4 linked regions of the Schizosaccharomyces pombe genome follow. The gene in region 3 interacts genetically with the main gene of each other region. Each region holds a gene or a part of one and is shown on either strand. Other genes may lie near its edges. The genes, in order: rsa1, cxr1, cwf19 and gdh1.

Region 1 (4,430 bases), on a different chromosome or scaffold from region 3:
AAAGACTCGGTAAAAGTTTGTGTCTTAGGGTCATATGCCGTTTCTGCTTTGCCAATCTGTGAAGCCTCCCACAGTTGCATTTGTCTTCTCTTTGACTCTAAGACTTGATGTGGGTCAACTTCTGATTGCGACTATAAATATGGTTAGTAACTGCTCTAAAACAACGTTATATTGTCCTAAGTGCTGTTTTATTCTATATTCATATTTGATCCCTACCTTCACATTTTCTTCCATTGAAGCCAAAGCACGAATTCCAACTATATATATTTCAACTGGTTTATTCTTTAAAGAAGACCATGGTATTTTGAGTGTCAGTTCTTCAACCAAACCATATTGAACCGAAATTGGTAATTCTAGTTTACGGAAAGCCTAACAATTTTATTAGATACAAAATCAAAATTTTCAATATAATTCATCTTATAATCTCATACACTCCGTTTCAACTGCAAGTTTCGTAGCGTAACATCTCCGTTCCAAACAGCGACTTTTAACTGAGTAGCGTCAAAATTCTCAATGTATTCTCCTAAGAGTCGATTTAAAAAATCTTTTTCGTTAGTTTCGTATTTAATACAAAAGACTTACTTGCTAGTAACCCTTCTAACATATTGAAGGGAATACGGTGAGAAACAGCAAACTGTAAATATTTTGAACTTTGCTTTACAGATGGTTTCGAACGCTACAACTACTGCGTTGAGGGTTATAAAGATAGAATGTCAGAGCATGACGTGAACGCCTACACCATAAGTAACATTAAGCTAAGTAACAGACATTTTCAAGAAAAGAAAAATCTCGTTTACGTTTGTAAAAATTTCAAGAAATCCATTAGAATATGTTAATAAAAAAAATTTAGTTTCTGTTTTCTTTGAAGAAGTAGCTACTAAAGTCGGAGTGGTTCAGCGGTAAATCATAGCAAATAATTTTTTGGCAGCAGTCATGATACAGGTTTAACAACCATTCCCATTTTTTTAAGGTATAATTTCATGAATTGAAGGAAGAAGATGTTTTCTTGCTCCAATTGAGTATTAAGCAACTGGAAAGTTCAATGTTAGTAAAAAGAATCGGATAAACACATTTTTCATAACCAATTTTAAATGGCTAAAATGAAAATATAAGTACCTTTGTATAGAGACTCTTTTTTTTAGGAGGTCCTCTTTTTTCGTGAGGCTCATGGTGTGCTAAAGGGTGCTGAGATGGAGTAGGTTGAGCGTCTATCGATTGTGAAGTATCTGCAGCGCCTAAGTTCTCCATAACTTTTTCTTTTTCCTTATTACCATCAATTAGTACGTGTGAATACAACTAGAGCAAACCTAAATAGACATACTTGTTTTGAGCGAATATTACTCTCTGTTGGCCAATTCTTTTTTCTCTCCTGAATCCAAGCTTCAATTTCCTCAGGTGTATTAATGGAAATATTCCTTCGCTTCAAGTATTCTATTCCATCAACTGCACAAGCTCCCCTAGTATTTCCGGCATGTGAACCCCCTCGAAAACTTCTCCCTCTTCCTCTTCCACTGCCTCGCTTTGTTGGCTTAAAAGAAAGATCTTGATCCATTCGCCGTTTCCCATGCCTTCCTACATTTTCTGTCTCACTACTAGAATTCTTTTGAGTCAAGGAGGCAGAAGAATTCGTTTGCTCAAAAGGTTTGTTTATGATGGGAGGAGGTGGAGGTTTATCATATATAAATGAGGTAGGATTCATCCCAAATAACTCAAAGCTTCAAGATAAATTCTCAAATTGAAAAATTAGTTTTCAAAGTCAATGTATAATCACCGCAACGCGAAATTGCAAAACACAATCAATAGAGTAAGGAACGTGTTTCTCATAAACGAGAATTTACAGAAATTCCAAAATGTAATATATGATTATTTTTAAACGCTGTGTTACCCTGATTAACAGATTCAATTGAAGTATGGTTTTAAAAAAATTTACGATGACTGGTTTTGATGTAGGTGTGTGTATCAGAAAATATAAGACGTCGATGTAGGACTAAATTAGGTTTTGCACCTTTCGCTTGATAAAGCAATTATAAAAAAAATAAGCCTTTAATTGCTCCAAATTTCAAATGGAGTTGTGAATAATATGAAAAAGTGGCAAAAAACATTGAGTGTATACAGCAGAATCATACACCCCAACTCAACAACTAACTTGAAAACGAGATGTAATGTAGAACAGCAAAATACTACTAATTTCACAGTATTAGCTCCCTATTGAAATAATTAATTATTCTACCAACACTAGACTATTTGTGCAATATTTATTTCATTCAGTTTAATTTCAGTTATATAGAGGGACAGTGATAATATCCAGAATGTATAAGCTAATTTCACTTGTCGATTTTTTAACTTTTGAATTTCCTGCTTTACATCTCTGAAGCAAATTAAAATTGATGAGTGTATCAACAATATCCTTACTTGAATATAGTCTGTCCTAATATTTACTATGTATAAAGAAGCGGCTTATACAATTCTCATTTATTGATTAAGTTAATTTCTGTTAAGCTTTACTATGAGAATGGTGATTTGAATCCTCTTTTGGAATTAACTATGTTTAAGCTTATGTTTTGTACTGCTCCCGAGATCTTAACTGAAGCCTATCGTCACCTCGTCAATACGAATTTTTTTCAATTGTAAAGCATATGCAATAAAATATAGAATGATTATTTAATATAGGGCCTTTATATTATTTTTAAGTCTTTGTGGTATTTTGTAGGGATATACTGTCGAAATGGATTCATTTCATCCAACACCTGGAAAACCGACCACAGCAACATCAAATTCAAGTCTGAACTTTTTTGTAAGAAACAGAGAGAAAAGTATTAGGTGCTCAAGCTTGCATCAAACTTTTACAGCCCCTTCTCCTGAAGCTTCACCGTCAATCGGATTAAGATATGTAAATTACTCAATGAGCGACGAAACTGATGAATCTATGTTTCCACTTGATTCAGAACTGACCGATATGGAAGATGATGATACCGAGTACATATCAGACTCTACAACAGACTTGCCGTCCGCTGCCATGGCTAGAGGAACTAGGCAGTTGAGTTACAATGAAAATTTGGATCAGCGTTCGTTTTCTAAGACTCCAAATAAACATATTGAAGTAAAAAATTTAAAGGACCTTTGTAGTCCCTCTCATTCTGGAAGAATTTCGAAATCTTTGTGTCCTGTGTTACGAAGAAAGTCTTTGCTTCCCAAACCGAAAATGTTCCAACGCGTAGCCAGTGCCTTGTATGAAGAATCATCTCCTCTGGAGTTGGAAATCCGTAGTGAATCGGAATTTTCCAAGATGTTTTTCGAGCCTAAAAAATCATCATCCTTTGTTTCTAGAGCTGCTTCGCCTGCAATGGTAGGTCCGGGTGTACCGTTTTACAGTTCTATAACAGGTGCAAATGGTAATGTTCTCGCACCATCAGGATCTTTGAAAGCTGTTGAGAACTCTGATGTAATTGAGTCATCTGCAGAGGACAGTAGTAATACGGACAATCCATCTACTAAGCCTTCGAATGAGATGCCCATATCTCCTCTGCTTTCCAGTTCTGTATTTTTTAAGGATACAGAAATGTCAACTCCGAATAGCAATCACTCCAGATCCCGTACCCCATCCTCGAAAAAGCGAACTCGATGGGGCGAAGAAATAATCGACTTATCGAAGAGAAGAGCTGTATCTCCTTCCATTTATTATGATTTGGATAAGAAATGCTCTCCTATTCATTCTGTTATGGTCAGCCCCTTGAAGATTAAGGATACTCACGAAGTCTTGATGAATTTAAAGTTATGAACTAGCTCACGCTGCGAAGTGTGTATTTATTTGTACAATAATTGAATAATTAATTTCCTATCTTTTTACGCAACTTATTTTGTAGTAGCTTTTTATCATGTTGAATCTAGTTTACAATGTTACAGCGCCGTTATTTTTATTACTCTTTATAAAGAACAGCTTGTTATCATATCATTGTTTTGATATGTAAACAAAAGTCCTAAAAATCCGTTTACGGTTTCAGCAGCATAACATTATATTCTAAAATTTAAAACGACTTGAGATGTGAATTACTTTTTATTTAACGAATAACTTACAGCTTTTAAGCATATTTTACTCTCATAGTATATTTAGGCTTCGCCTCTTTGAATCTCGCTTTCTATTTTCGTTCCCCCAGGTAGTCTCTACTTTAACCTATACTGCAAGAAACTCAAATAATGGCTTCACAAACCATCCCGAAGTTAAAATCAGTATTATACTGCGATGTTTGTACATTGCCCGTGGAAGTACGTAATAAACAACTTGTTTTATAATTATATTAACTATGAATGCGTTGTAGTACTGCGAATTTGAGGGCACTTTAAAAAAATGTAAAGAATGGCTTAAATCATCTCACCCGGACGTTTATGATAAATTGTACGGTGAGCAAGACTTAAGCAAAGACCTTGAAAAC
Region 2 (5,162 bases), on a different chromosome or scaffold from region 3:
TATTTGTTCACATGGATTTAACGTAAATTGTTCAAAAGCTGTATTATTTCTCATAAATTAGCAAAAAAATGCTTTGTGTTTAAAATGTAGTGTGTAATTTTAGGTAGGCAAACTGGTGTGGTGATACTCAGTCGCCCCAAAAGTTTAGAATAAGTACCAAATGTAAGTTAACAAGGGTAAATGTGTACATGAATTTGTGATCATTCGAAATGGAAGGAAAGAAATTAAATTTTTTAAATCATAAAAAATTCTTATTATAATAATTTCTGTTTTGGGAGAGTTTTATAAAAATGCTGATCAGTAAACCTGAAAGAAATCAAAGGGGTATTGAAGAGTCATCTGTATACATATTTTATAAAAACAGAACTGTGAAACTTTTAAATCCTTGAAAAATGTTAGTAGCGAGATGAAAATGGACGGAATAAATAAATAAATTGAGAGCATTTTTAACCCAGTTCTAATTTGTCATTGTAGTATTAAAAGCGATTTTAAAAATTTTTGATGTTTCTTGCTTAGTTTCCCAAGCAGCATTTTGCAAATTTTCTAATTAAACGTTTCAAATAGCTTAAGCATCGTCCGTGCAGTATCAAAGCAGCTGTAAATTGTTTTAATAAACAAATATTTTAATTAATGTTTTTATATGTTCTACTTTCTTCTAAAGTTGTTTCCCCCTAAATTCAACTAATCTATATGAATACTGTTACATACCCATGCATTTTAAGCTATATGGCTTTACTTAATACCTAAATTTCTTTTTTTTTTTTTTTTTTTTTTTTTTAAATTAAAAATATTCATTACCTTTTTCCTAATTACTTTGTCTTTAAAGTGCAATGCGTAGGTATTGATAGCAGAACCAAATTTCAAAACTATTATTATTTGTATTTCTAAATTTATAATGGTATCTTTCATTAAAAATTGATCAAGTAGTGTCGCTTGAATTCTCTTTAGCGGCTTACTATTCAATATTTATATGACTGAGTGTTGGCGCTTAACCTCTAATGTATTTAGCCAGGTGGATACAAAGACAAACAACTGTATGAAAAATGAAAGTTTATAGAATTAATGGAAACGGTGAAAGCAAAATTTAAGCTGTCTCTAAACCTACAAATTCGCATTTTTCTTTTGCCAGCACCATATGACGCATCCGTAGGATCTGCACATTTCAAGCAACGTAAATCATTTACCTCATTTTACTACTATGACTGAAGCGATGGAACCCTGCGCAGGAATCCAAAACTGCATAAGAAAAGAAATTCAAAAGACATAATTAATAACATGGTTGCACAAATAAAATTCAAAAAAATACTTATGTAAATGAAAAACCTTAAAAAAATCAATAATTTATAATTGCATAAATAGATTGCCTAACAATGTGCTGATAGATAAGTCAACTTACCTACGCTACAACATCGAAACCCCGTATTTGAACAATTCCTTTGTTTCCTTTGTCCTTGTGCTTATATTATTTCTCATTTTCTTATATTTTAATTGAGCTACATATAGAAAGTAATATCGAGGGAATTGCGTCAAATTTGAGTTAAAAATTGCATTTTGATTTTGAAGTTAGCATTTCGCTTTTTTTTTTTTTTGAGGTCTTTTATTTTAATATTTTCTTCTCTTTCTTTTTGCTCGTAGGTTTAAAGCGCAATTGCTGTTATTTTGATTGCAGTAGACTCTCGTGTTTACGTTAATTGCTATATTCGTTTTTCGTTTCTGCGTTCAGCGATACCCAAGTATCGTTGTTATTCCTTCTGCCGTTTAAATTGAACTTTCTCTTCCGTTTTCCTTTAGACATTGCATATTGTGTGCATTTTACAAGCATACATTTTCACTTTTGAGTTGACTTTTCAATTAATTTAATATATTATCATTAACTGATAATTCGTTTGCAATTAAACATTGAAAAGTTTTTTTTCCTTGAATTAGATTTTTTTTTATTAAAGACACCTCTTTTTTTTGGAAACTCCTAATTTATTATTTGAATTTCTTCTAGACTCTTTATCAGTTATCGAAGACTTACTACTTAACTTTGATTCATATTTTTTTACGTTTGGATCGTTGAGTTAACTAATTGGCCTAGTACCAACTAATAATTTTCTCTACCTTCGTTCATTTCACTTTGTGTTTGATCGACTACAATCCAGTTTGTACTTTTTCTTGGACAACTAACCGTATAAGTTATTTCCGTTAACTCACCAAAGTTATTTTAAGAGTTTGTGTTTTGTATACACAGTACATCATCTCATTTTTGTGGTGATAATTAGTCCTTTTGGCGATTTATTCATTGTTTCATCTTCACAAATATCCATTGTCGAAACTTTCATCTAACTTAGTTCAGCCTTCTGTCTCTACCGTGAGCATAGTGTGTCGATTTTTTTTGGTTTCTAGTATAATCCACTCTTTTATTAATTGCTAAAATTTTTAAAATGTCTTCCTCACCGACTGAGTCTGAAATTTTACCCAAGGAATCGCATAATTCGATAGACGAACAAAGCCAACAACCAGCTAATACGGATACTTTGGTTAAAGATAACTCCTTCAATGAACAAGATGACCAAGAAGTGGACAATGATTATAAATCAAATGATGAACCCGTACAATCTCAAGATCCGATTTCTCCAAATATGGCATCCAACGAATCTGGAAATTCCGAAAATACTAGCAACTATGGCTCATCAAGAGATGAAAACGTCTATCAAAAAACGACGCTTTGGATGGGTGAATTAGAGCCTTGGGTTACTGAAGCATTTATCCAGCAAGTTTGGAATACTTTAGGAAAGGCAGTCAAAGTAAAGCTTATTCGTAACAGGTACACAGGCATGAATGCTGGCTATTGTTTTGTCGAATTCGCATCTCCTCATGAAGCTTCAAGCGCGATGAGTATGAACAACAAACCAATTCCTGGTACAAATCATTTGTTTAAACTTAATTGGGCCTCTGGAGGCGGATTACGTGAAAAGTCTATTTCAAAGGCCTCAGAATATTCCATATTTGTGGGAGACTTGTCACCCAATGTCAATGAGTTTGATGTGTATTCTCTCTTCGCATCTCGATATAACTCATGCAAGTCGGCCAAAATCATGACTGATCCTCAAACAAATGTGTCAAGAGGATATGGTTTTGTCCGTTTTACGGACGAAAATGATCAGAAATCTGCATTGGCAGAAATGCAGGGTCAAATTTGTGGTGATCGTCCTATTCGGGTGGGATTAGCCACTCCTAAAAGTAAGGCTCATGTTTTTAGTCCTGTGAACGTTGTACCTGTTAGTATGCCACCAGTTGGATTTTATAGTGCTGCACAGCCTGTTCCTCAGTTTGCTGACACAGCAAACTCAACCGTATTTGTTGGCGGTCTCTCAAAATTTGTTTCTGAAGAGGAGCTTAAGTATCTTTTTCAAAATTTTGGAGAAATTGTTTATGTCAAAATTCCACCTGGAAAAGGTTGTGGATTTGTGCAATTTGTCAACCGACAGTCTGCTGAAATTGCTATCAATCAGTTGCAGGGTTATCCTTTGGGCAATTCTCGTATCCGATTATCTTGGGGAAGGAATCAGAATCCAATTGCGGCTCCTGCCTTGAATTATCAGTCTCAGGTTTCACAAACTACTATTCCTGCTACCTCATTATTTCCGGCAATGAGTTTACCACCCCAGGCTCAGTTTAGTCCATATCCGGCTGTTGCACCTTCCCCCTTAGCCCTGCAAACGAGGGGTGCACCGATTGGCATGGAAATTTCGATTGGATCTCCTGCCCTCGTACCTGATCAAATGCATATTCCTGAAAACGGCAACTCTGATACCATGCCTGTTCCTAACACACAAGGAAAGCATTTATCAGCTGAAGAGTAATGTAAAAGTACTTGCGATTGAATTTTTTATAATGGCATGTCTCATACTTTTTATCATCATTCTTGGTTTTTATAAAGTATGAATAATTTTCCATCTATTCTAATAAGTTTGATGTTCATAATGAATCACGGAGAATTATTGTTTCGAGAAACGTGAGAGTTCTTGTAAACTCTATCTGTTATTTTGGACGTTAAATCAAGAGAGTCCCTTAGCATAATTGATTAATAAGCATTTTACATGTGTTCATGAATTCGAATTATCGAAGAAAAGCTTGAACTAAATTTTTGTTGGACATAGCTTCATTACGTTTCCTTTCTAAGGATTGACGGTTTTTATATTCATCTCTCCCTGTTTATGATATGAAATGCTACGTTTTTTTAGCCGAAATTTTCATTTGTCATGATTTTTATAGTCAAGAAAAAGGTTTTCATACGACGTATATAAAAGATTAAATTTAATAGTAATGATGGACTTCAGAATTATCGCACTGAGATTTTTAGGTCGCTGGAGAATGCAGTTTAGGCAAGGTATGTAAGTGCTTATTGAGATTTCCCATTGATAAACAACTTTTAAGTTGCTTCTGGTTTAATCATTCGTTCTTTTAGGTATGAGTTTAGTTAAATGATCAGCGCCATTTTCAAAACATTTCATTCAACCAAAAATCAACCGCCTCTAAATTCAATTTTATTTGAATGATACTCCCTATTTATCGAAAAATCCATTCAATTAAAATCTATTATTAACTTTTCATCCATTTAAATCTACTCCATTTTTAAAGCTCTTGTTTACAGAGTAACAACGCGACTTGCAACTTCTACTACGCCAGGGGGGCGACTGTCGCAATAAACAACTGACAGAAAACGCACTTATAGTATAGGCTCAAAATCTTTTTAAATCGTAGCCTTTCCCATTAATACGAATACATCATCAAATTCAGTTTTGCGATTAAGTATAAACGGGCTTAACTCGTGCGTTTATATACTTTGTCAACGCTGTGATTAGTATTCAACCTTTGACGTTACACTTTATTAACCTGGCTCGATACTCTTAAATAAGACTCTGGAAAGCGACAATTCTTATAATTAATTTTATTTTTTATTTTTTAACCTGTGAAAAAGTTTTAATCTCTAGACCTGGAACGATCATTAACATAATTGTGTACACATTATTGAAATCCAGCTTATAAATGAATTTTGATCTACTAAATAATTTACTCACCGATCCAAAGAAGCAGACAACATAAACCATCACCTATCGCTATTTTTACCTTCATCCATTAAATAACACCTTCATACATTCCGAACACCAGGTTTT
Region 3 (5,192 bases):
AATTTCTCTTGTCTGTTCGTCATTTAATTCTGCAGCTCTACGAGGAGCTAATTGTTCTCCCTTGTTAACCAGAGGTTGATTGTTAACAGTCCTCGTGCTATTTAATGTTTTCTGTTTTTTTATGAAAGACTCTCTCGCTGCAGGATCTGTTTTACGGAACAAGTCACCGCTATCAAAGTGATAAGTGGGTGGTTTCATTTTTCCAACTTCTCTAAGATAGTATTTGTCATACATGCAATTTCCTAAACTGTTTCCAAAATTTCGTAGAGCGCGTTTTAAGGCATCTGTAGTGCCCTCTTTCTTGCATTTCTCAAACGCTGAAGCCTTTCCACGGCAATTATCAATAGAACCGTATCCAATATCTTCATGATAGGCACCATCTTTGATTGTCACGCGAACAATCACGCTCAAGCCAAGACTGATACGTCCATTTTCCTTATTTTCGTCCATAAAGTCAACATTAATGCTGCGTATCGACGAAGACCACCCATTAAATCCAAAAATTTCGTTCGCAAGCTCAATTGCTTTCCAAGACTCAATATAACTGACTGAAAAACCCCCAGGACCTGACCTTCTTGAAACGTACTCAGGTCCAAGCTTTCGAGTTAGGGAGCTTTGAAGAAAGTTAAACTCTTCATGAGAATACGCTGTGTTAAAATGGCCCTGGTCTTCTGATGCTACATGCTGTTTTTGCTCAAAAGACATCCCTTCTAGCTTATATGAAGCAGTATATTAGCTGTGTGCACATGGACAGGTACCAAGTAATAAAGAAAGATAAGGTAGCATAGCGAGTAACCACTTAATGAAAATAAAGATCTTACAAATCATCAGTAATGAATATTACTTAAAGAATGTAGATACAAAAATAAAAACAAAATTTTATTTGAATTAAAGGATTTTCGTAATTACTAATCAATTAATCCCTTGGTCCAATCGAATTTTTCAAAACGACTGCGAAACATATCTTCGCGTGGATCTTTTTTACCTGTCCAAGAACCTTTCCTTCTGATTACTTCAGGAGGAAGGTTTAGCATACTGGCAAATACCTGCCTAGGAACTTGATCGTGCCTCCCCCATGCCTTCTCGTCTTCCACGACATGCCCGTAGCCACCATCAATACTGAACCAAACATGAAAATAACCCAATTCTAATCATTAGTAAAATAAATGATTACGATTTTCCAAACATACCCTTAACCATCATTTTTCGAAAAGCCCATTTTCCATACTTCTTCGAACCTTCTAATGTATCAATAATTTTTCGATGTTGAGACCACTCCTCGTCAGAAGTAGACAAAGCTTCACGGAAGTAAGCAGGTGCAAGTGAGAGGATCCTTTTAGAGACTGGAATACACTCAATAGCTGTGTGCATATATCTTTGTGGTGAAGGCGCGTTTTCATAAAAAATAACACCAAGATTCATGGAATCAAACATTAGGGCGATGCATTTCATAAAATTCTAAAAAGGTTTGTTAGTTATTTCCTTTTACTATATTAACATACTCTGATTTCATCCCATTCATCCTCATCACAGCTGAGGGTATTTATCCGATGTCCTGTAGGAACAATTAAACAATGATATTTAGCTAATTCGGGTTGAGTTGGTAAAGAAACATAAGCACGATGACTTAAAGATATTACTGGTGCCAAAGGTTGTGTTTCATAATTTAGGCAAAGAGGACAAGTGTCCAAAACATGATTAATTTTTTTAAGATCCCCACCACTACTAATTTGAGCTAGACTGACGTCTCCGCGCTTCATTCGATTAGAAAGTTTCCCTGCATTTTCGTCCAAATAATCCAGATTGTTAGAATAAGTTTTATCCTTTGCAATCTGCTTTGCGTATTCATAATTCTGGCCGTATTTCCGTTGTTTATTCAACAATTTTTCTTCCTGTACCATCTCATCAATAGTAGGATCGTCGAAGTTTCTTTTTTTTGATGGTATGGTTGCTTGCGAATTAGAATTTTCCGAAGGGTGTAAAGAGTTTTCGAAGTCATCACAAGCTTTCTGATATTCCCTTTCTAAAGACTCATAGTTAGGATCCTTTTTAAGTTGAGCACGTAACAAATCAGCTTTTAATCTATTCAAATCGCTTTCAGTGGGAGTATCTTTATTTACAGAAGGGTCAGGTATTACTTTGTAGTATGTAGCGCCATTACCAGAATCTTTTCTAGTCTTAAATTCATCAGCACATCGTTTTTCATATAATTCGCCAGTAGGAACTTCTTTCTGAACTTTTCGAGTTCGTTTTCGAAGCTCTAACTCATCTCTTTCTTCCAAGGCAAAATCAAATTCTTTCAATGAACCATAACGTTCCAGAGCTACTTCTTCAACGGGGCGTCGTTGGTCTTGAGCCATGTCAAATACGCGTTTGAGCTTCATCATACGCCATCGAGAGCCATTATCACCAATTTTGTAATTAATTCCTGACTCATTAATTTCGGTTTCAAGCTGTTCTATATCTTTATGTTCTGTACTCGTCGAACTCTCATTCTGTAATGTTGCACCAACAAAAATTTCACCAGGCTTATTGGACTTTCGGTCAATAGGTTCTCTTTGTATACGCGAACCGAACGTACCAAAATCCAAACCTTGCAATGAATTAGTAAAGTCATTATTCTGTGGATTGTCTTTGGAGGATGGCATGGAAGAAGCAGAAGCGAATTTGGAGTCAAAGTATTCATTTTCAACAGGAAGTTTCTTTACCTCCAATGGCTCTTTACTAAATCTTTCATGCCTACTTCGGTCACCTGCTTCTCTAGAGCTTGGCCTTTCACTGCGATCATGTCGTCCATGCTTGCTCTCACGATGCCTAGAGTGGTGGTGACGATGCCTTCTAGAGTGATTTGTTTCTCTGTCAGTTTCATTGAATTTGTGAGTACTGGTCCTATTTGTAAGCTTTTCCTTTTCCATAATGGACGTTATTTTAATATTAATTCATGAAATAAATAATTTTTAACAATAATTAGAGGCAAAATGGTGGGAAAAAGGAAATAATGTTTTTATTGTAACTTAACGATGGTAGTAGTACATTCGTTAAGTCAAGTGGTTCAGGCACTATGCAGATCTAAACAAGCAACGCAAATGATAGTTTTGCCAGGAGTTTAGTTTAGACAATGATCAGAATTCTCTTTTAAATTAAAAAAAATTGTAAAATATTGCGTTGAAATGGAAAGAAAAGAAAGTGAAACAATTAAGTTTGAAAGAAGGAGTATCGGCCTTTGCAGTATTCCACATTGACAGTGAAAGGCGATACAATAACTTTAGGATTCCAAAATATATACCACTAACTTCAAACAAAAACCTTTTAAATAACGCAAGGACTTTAGTAGTACTAAATTACCCATTGTTTATTTGAACTTCATTACAAATAAGTTGGAAAGAATAATAAAATACCTCGCGCTAACTACTGTATAGTGTGTCTTGCGCTAGTGTACAATGAGTTTATGATACTAGCAAAGCTACACAACAGCCACAGAAAAAAAAGCATTGTTTGTTTCCAAACTGTGACGATTTTTTATACCTGTATTTCCAGTGTAATTGGATCATTGCAATTATATTTTCTTTAGCAAAGTACTAAAGAAGTCTGTTTATCGCCTTTAATAGCATACAAGTTCAATCAATTATAGCTGTTAGGCCATCTAGGAAATATAAACAAAGGAAAGACCAAATTTTCATTCATATTTATAGCTATGACTAGTTAATGCATGAATAATTAAATTTAACAAAATTAAAAATAAAAAAGCTCTAATAAATGTGAGATTTCAGCTCTTCATGGATACGTGCAGTATTTATATATGACTAGACAGTGAGTTGTAGTGAGAAGTGAATAAGCGAGATATAGTGATGATCAATCTCATTTCGCTAGCAAAACATAATTGGAGTAACAGCAGCAAACGATTTATAAGTTGCGTTAAATCTCACCTAAATTCCAAACACGCGTGTTGAACTTACACATTCGCATTTTTTGCCATTTGCTTCATTTTTTCATTTGTTTTTTACATGAGCATATGAATGATTTAAAACCTAATGCCGAATTCATCGTACTATGACGACGATGGCGGTTCTTTTGAAGCGGCATCATATCCTTTTCAATTCGACGGTAGTCGTCGATTTCCCAATGATTTGCATCCAACGATGTTTGAGGGGGAGGAATCTAATCAAAATGGAGGCTCTGTGCTAATAGATCAAGCCTTTCAGGATATACAAAATCCTAACGTGAATTCAAACATGCATTTGGAAAATCAGTTCCAACACTTTCACGAGCCAAACAAGGAGTCAGGTGCTTTCGGTTCGTACAAAAATGATGATGTTGCTAAAGAAATAGAATCTAGTAAAAATCAGGAAACCGATGCAAAAAGCGAACAGGCACCTTTCACTGAAGACGCATCTTCATCTAATTATGCGCATCATAGAAGTGCTGATTCCCAAACAAAATCTGCGTTACCCCCAAATGTTCCTGCAAGTTCATCGCCATTACCTCCTATGTCAATTGCTATGAACATTGCTCGGAAAAGATCATGGCCTGCCAGTTTGGCTATTGAACGTGACAACACCGCTGACGCCCTCTTTTCTACTGAAGATGGTAGGGAAGAGCAATTTAATTTGGAAGGTGTCAAAACAAAATCAGGAAGAAAAGTGCATCGCCCTAATCATTTCGATCCCCTTGTAAAATTACCTACTAGACGACGTGGCCCAGGTCGTCGACCTGTGGTCGCATTAGCTATGAAATGTTCGGTTTGTCAACGACTTCAATCTCCACCAAAAAATCGCATCGTTTTCTGTGATGGTTGTAACACTCCATTCCATCAACTTTGTCATGAACCCTATATTTCTGATGAACTTTTAGATTCCCCCAATGGAGAATGGTTTTGTGATGATTGCATTAGGAGAAAAAAGCAAGCGCCTCTCGTAACTGGAACTACGGCACGAGAACTAAATCTGTCTTCGGAAGAGAAAAAGTCTTATCTTTTAAGTCTTCCGATCTCCCAACTGGTTGACATCCTATTATTCTGTGAGCAATTACATCCCGACATCCCGTTCTATAGTCCTAAAACTTCCACTATTGTCCAAGAGCTCCAAAGCAAAAGGTCTGCCTTTACAGCTACTATGAATGAACCTGTAACGGGAGATCAGTATCTAAGTCTAAATAATGGAACAGAATCACAATCGAAAACAACCAAGCATTCG
Region 4 (5,548 bases), on a different chromosome or scaffold from region 3:
ATATAATCGTATTATGCTGATCAAAACTGCTAAAGCATCTGGCTCTTATCGTCTATACTTACCAGACTCATATATTCCAATACACCCTGTCGTTGCATATGCATTTTACGTTTGGATTCTTCCAGCTTTTAGAATTTTGTTCTCAATATTTATGGCTTCAATGAGTGTAATCATTGTGGTATCAGAAGTGTTTTTGCACACTCAATATTCCTTGGTTGGTATTATCTTACAAAAGTTTACCAATTCGTCTGCCACTTCTATTTTTGTATCGTTTTTATTTGTTTATTACATGCGATACTGCACGTACAAATCCTTGATGCGAACTCAATTTGCGCCACATTACTATTATGCATTAGTTCCTTTCCGAGCTACAAATACGGCCTCCTTGATATACTTCGCATCTCAACTTTGTCGCTTAACGCTTCCTCTTTGTTATAACTTTGTTTCTCTACAACCTTATCCCACCCAATTCCATCAATTCTATGGTGAGAGTATTGACCTCTTACCACTTGGAAATCTTATTAGCAAACGTTATCCAACCTTTATACTACTGCCGATTATTTTTTCTATGATTTCTTTAAAATATAGGTTGCGACAATTCATTTATTCCATTACGCTGCGCAAATCATCCAGTGCCAGCTCTTCCGATGACTTTGATGATTCATCACTGAATTCAGAAAACGATGATGATCTGTTTAATGAAACCTCGGCTGCCTATTTAGCTGAAGGCAGAGCCCTTCTTTTGGGTACAAATAATGCCCATGTTTAATTTACCGTTATGAGCCCTATGTATTTTAATAATTTAGTCTATTCTTCACATTTTTAACAGCAATTGTTATTTCTCAACTATTTTCTTATACAAGTCTATCATTTACATAACGTTAAAAAATTCTTTTTAGTAAATTCTTCAAAGGATTCTCATAAATAATAATTTCATACAGCTATCAAATACCAGTTAAAATTAATTGAATAAAGGAGGCGCCTTGAGCGGAACTAGAAAATCAAATGATCCTTTTATTACATGAAAAGTCTACATAATTACGGGTACTTCGTATTCGAAGCATCTGTGAGAATAATTCAAAGACTGATTTATTTTTTTTCGTATGCATCATAATCATCTAATAGATTCATAGCTTTTTAAAAAAATTGGTAAAGTAGAAGAGGTACAGAAAAGCGAGTGACTTGAAAAAACATATACAGATACAGTGAATCAAAAATGCCTAAACATTTCACGAATGAAGTCTACCACCAGTCACCAACGGCTTGCATGGCAGTAGCAACCTTCAAGAAACCAGCAATGTTGGCACCATCGACAAGACTGGGAATGTTGTTAGAGCCAGAGTCACAATACTTGGAGGCGACATCGGTGGATTGTTCAAAGATGTTTTGCATAATTCCAGCCAATTTAGCGTCAACCTCGGCATGAGTCCAGGTAGAGAATTGAGCATTTTGAGCCATTTCCAAGCCAGAAACGGCGACACCACCAGCATTGGCAGCCTTACCAGGAGCAAGCCAGCAACCCTCACCAGAAGCACGAGACTTCTCAAAGACTTCAACGGCCTCAGCAGAAGAACCCATGTTGGAGCCCTCAGCAACGTAGCGACATCCTTGTTTGATAAGAGCGGCGGCTTCCTCACCGCTAACTTCGTTTTGAGTTGCACAAGGCAAAGCAATGTCAATTTCACCAACATTAGTCCAGGGACGAGCACCGGCGATGTAGTGATGCTTCTTGCAAAGAGAAGCAGAGTCGGCAATGCTGGCACGCTTCTCCTTTAGAGCCATAATTTCATGGATCTCTTCAGGGACAAGGCCTTCAGCGGTCTTTGCAATTAGGACACCTTTAGAGTCACTGATACTCTTAACAATAGCGCCTTCTTGAATGCACTTCAAGGCAGCATATTGAGCAACGTTGCCGCTACCGGAGATGGCAACACGCTTGCCCTTCAAGGTCTCGGCACCCTTGGTGCGGTGTTCAATCATGTGCTTAACATAGTAAACGACACCGTAGCCAGTGGCTTCAGGACGAATGTTGCTACCGCCGGTAAGCATGTGCTTGCCGGTGACGACACCACTGTACTCATTGCGAAGACGCTTGTACTCACCAAACATGTGCATAACGACAAAACCTGTGACACCAATATCACCAGCCGGTACATCAGTTTGAGGACCGATATAGCGGAAAAGCTGACGCATGAAAGCTTGCGAGAAGCGACGAATCTCGTTGTCGGATTTGCCCTTGGGGTCGAAGTCAGAACCACCTTTGCCACCACCCATGGGAAGGCCCGTCAAGGCATTCTTGAAAATTTGTTCAAAGCCCAAGAACTTGAGGATGCTCAAGTTGACGGAAGGATGGAAACGCAATCCACCCTTGTAGGGGCCCAAAGCCGAGTTGAATTGGACACGGTAGCCGGTGTTAACACGGCAGTTACCTTTATCGTCCTCCCATGTGACGCGGAATTCTAAGACACGTTCGGGAATGGAAATGATTGGAAGCACACGCTTCAACTCGGGATGAACTTCAAAGAGCTTGGAGCTCTCGATGGAGCCCACAATCTCCTTGTAGGCTTGTTGAAATTCAGGTTCGTATGGGGTACTCATGGTGGGCCAAAAAAGTAAACAAAATCGAAGGTAGTGATATAGAGTGTATATCTATATAATAATGATAAGTTTAGAGAATTCGAGATATCAAAAAAAGGCGACCTCGAAAACTTTTAACAATACAAATACAGGCTGTACAATCCAAAGTTCTATACAAATCCGTATTCGACGCCTTCAACGCAAAGACTTTCAAAATTTAACTACAATCCAACAAAACTCTTACAACGTGAGTATGTAAGAGATATCGATCCGGGTTCAAAACGCTTACCAGATGTACCAGTGCAGTGTAGCAGGAGGATTCAGGGACGTGCTGGCCATGTCTGCTATATTTATACACTTAACAAGCAATAATCAACAGTCACACCAGATACCTTGTTTTTTGGGAGACCATACGTTTGCTAATGGCTGACGACTTGCAATAAACCTGATGGAAGAGCGATGGCGGAGATAACAGACGAATAGGATGTAAGTATGATGTCAAAATCTCCAATCACAATGCTCCTATATATCTCTTTTCTCTATAATTGGATAGTGGAAAAGAAGATTACTTAAGCGGAAAATTTCCGATCTGATAAGCCAACCCCCTCACAGAATTCCTTCGTCTCCTGCTCAACCAAATAAAGATAAGATAAGCATTGCTTAATGATTGGTCCGTGCAACGGCTATCACCCACCCTACTGAAAATGTGGGGAAAACGCAGCTCCTCCGGGAAAATCCATGGAATTATAGAAGATCCTTAGTGGGATGGGGTGCTTGGGGGGGGGGGAAAGATGTTTTTAGATGAAAAAAAAATGTTTTAGAGAGGTTAATGTTGTAATATAGAAGATTTTCGCTTTCTGTTGATTAACAGTTTCTATAATTTTTTTAAGAAAAAAAATCTGGAAAAGTCCAAGTCCTTTGTTAATCTAATCTCGTTCCAATCTCTCACATCCATTTAAAGGGTCTATTCTTTACTCCTTTCAGTTGCTGCCCCCTTACTGATAACAAGGATAACTAAGGATAGTACCAAAAGAAAAAAACGCTAAATACTGAAATAGGTCGAATCACACTGAAACGGGTAGGTTCTTCCAGGCAGACCAAATCGCAAATACATATCCGAAAATTCGAGTAAACGGCCTTGCCTCGGTTTTACAGTATGGACTAAACATTCGCTCATCCAAACGTATTGCGCCTTAGCAGCCATAGTCATGACTAGCTTTCAATAGAAAAAAGACAAACGAAACAGAGTCATGAAATTCGTAGCGTAGATGTAAGTTAGAAAAATTTCAAATTTCTTTATTTTTTGGTCTTCTGATAACCCACTATCCCACTATCGTTTGTCCATTTATTCCTTGCCCGATCATGTGGCTGTTTGCTTTGAATCTAAAATTGGATAGAAAATAGTTCATTCGAAAGATTAGCGAAACTACGAAACAAGGTGCGATCGTCGTTGTGCTCGGTAGCAAGATGAGTTTGTTTTTTAGTATAATTTAGGTAGCTGCCAGCCTCGTTTCGTCAACTTAGCTAAATTCGTTGAGTCTGACTCATTGAATGTAGGTAAAATGGCTCATCTAAATCGAAACAAGTTGAATCGAGTACAGCCTTAGTCAAATCAAATAATGCCAAGATGAAAAAAGTCGAGCCTTTGCCAATATAATTTTATGCGATGTAATGGAATTCTTTGCCTGATTTTTAGGCTCTTTGTATTTTCTTTTAAAACACGGAAAATTCTAAAACTGGTAACCACTTTTATTATCGTTAAATGATGGAAATCAATGGTTTTTTAGCTCCTTTTTTCGGTTGATTCAAGTGTAACAAATTGTCCAAAGAAGGGAGTGGTTCCTCTTGTGTCTCGGTTTTCCCGCTGCCTTGTTGCCCAAGCAAATCATTGAAAACAGTCTCCGACGTCTTTGCTCCGACAGGTTCCAAAACTTCATGTGTTCGGCGATATGTACGTTGAACACGTTGCTTTCCCGGAATTAACAATTCAGTAGAGAAAGTGTCAATCATTTGAGACCCTCGAACTTCTCTCTCATAATACACTGCGTCGGGATTTTGCTTGGAAAATGCGTTCCAAGTTTCTTCCACCAATGATTCATCCCCCGCATACTTTTGAGACATGTGAGTAATGGCTCGTATGATGGGTGCCGTTATCCCCATAAGCTTCAAATACACTACAATGCTCAATTTGTTAGCCACACATGCTGAAGTTACTTTTAGCATTGCCCTTTGCAAACGATGCTCACTAGAATATGTTCGAGCAACATTGAAAAGATGCCAACGTTGGCACAACGTCTCCAATCGTGGAAGCAAATCTTGGCGAATCCTAGATGTCATAAAATCATCTGCAAGGGCGCAAACTTGATATATAGTTTCTAATGCGCATTCTACTAGCAGTTCGTTATCCGTGTCAAGCTGAATAACGACCAATGGCCAAAATGTATTAATAGCAGGATAAAATGTGTTTGGCTCCTTAGCCAAAACATTGCTTCCATAGCTCAACAATTTTAACATTTCCACTCGTATCGTAATTTGTTCATGTGATAAGAATAACTGCGCCTTTTCCGTGATTTTCCTTACCATATCGACGACATCATCTTTTTGCTTTTCTCCTTGTTCGTCCATAACATTACTATTTATGTTTTCATGATCAACTGTGGTCTCACCCATATTTTCATTTTCTTTGCCCTTCTTTTCTTTTTCCTTCATTGCATGTTCGCGAAACTGTTCATGTCCACTTTTCGTTTCTTGTTGTTCATCGTGTATCATATCCTCTAGTTCATGATCATCTTTTGGAAGAGGATAATTAGGGTTCTCTAATAGTAGTTGAACGAATTCGCGAATCTTTTTACATGGCTTATTTTTATCCTCGTTCATTGCGTCCTCCTCCACCCCGACGATGAGCTTTTTCTCCTCGCCATTTATACTTTCTTGCTTTATTATGGCATAAAGAATTCCAAGCAACCCTTCT

The links.
Region 1: mutations in cwf19 (region 3) and rsa1 together harm fitness less than expected from each alone (positive genetic interaction), as found in Schizosaccharomyces pombe (one large-scale study listed by BioGRID).
Region 2: mutations in cwf19 (region 3) and cxr1 together harm fitness more than expected from each alone (negative genetic interaction), as found in Schizosaccharomyces pombe (one large-scale study listed by BioGRID).
Region 4: mutations in cwf19 (region 3) and gdh1 together harm fitness more than expected from each alone (negative genetic interaction), as found in Schizosaccharomyces pombe (one large-scale study listed by BioGRID).

What each region holds. Positions count from the first base shown.
Region 1 is NC_003423.3:4,331,425-4,335,854, forward strand, and holds rsa1 (ribosome assembly protein), read right to left. Parts: upstream 1,962-4,430; 5' UTR 1,700-1,961; coding exon 1,322-1,699; exon of another isoform or gene 1,264-1,321; coding exon 1,117-1,263; exon of another isoform or gene 1,041-1,116; intron 1,031-1,040; coding exon 932-1,030; 3' UTR 754-931; downstream 1-753. Other genes in the region: vps1302 (lipid transfer protein), read right to left, coding at 1-131, 217-369, 432-544, 583-604; protein Dbl6, read left to right, coding at 2,726-3,778; tma22 (mitochondrial translation initiation factor), read left to right, coding at 4,195-4,263, 4,317-4,430.
Region 2 is NC_003423.3:3,834,529-3,839,690, reverse strand, and holds cxr1 (splicing factor Cxr1), read left to right. Parts: upstream 1-2,426; coding exon 2,427-3,848; 3' UTR 3,849-4,294; downstream 4,295-5,162. Other genes in the region: rrp2 (DNA translocase/ SUMO-targeted ubiquitin ligase E3), read right to left, coding at 1-54.
Region 3 is NC_003424.3:1,100,833-1,106,024, forward strand, and holds cwf19 (protein Cwf19), read right to left. Parts: upstream 2,976-5,192; 5' UTR 2,916-2,975; coding exon 1,503-2,915; exon of another isoform or gene 1,459-1,502; coding exon 1,191-1,458; exon of another isoform or gene 1,148-1,190; coding exon 909-1,147; 3' UTR 853-908; downstream 1-852. Other genes in the region: DNA recombination mediator Rad52 (previously Rad22), read right to left, coding at 1-705; Lsd1/2 complex PHD finger domain-containing protein Phf2, read left to right, coding at 4,032-5,192. UniProt on the Schizosaccharomyces pombe protein: Involved in mRNA splicing where it associates with cdc5 and the other cwf proteins as part of the spliceosome. Involved in mRNA splicing.
Region 4 is NC_003421.2:1,418,215-1,423,762, forward strand, and holds gdh1 (NADP-specific glutamate dehydrogenase Gdh1), read right to left. Parts: upstream 2,990-5,548; 5' UTR 2,599-2,989; coding exon 1,243-2,598; 3' UTR 917-1,242; downstream 1-916. Other genes in the region: lmb1 (plasma membrane LMBR1-like multi-pass membrane protein, human LMBRD2 ortholog, implicated in signaling), read left to right, coding at 1-769; TTT co-chaperone complex, armadillo-type fold subunit Tti1, read right to left, coding at 4,336-5,548.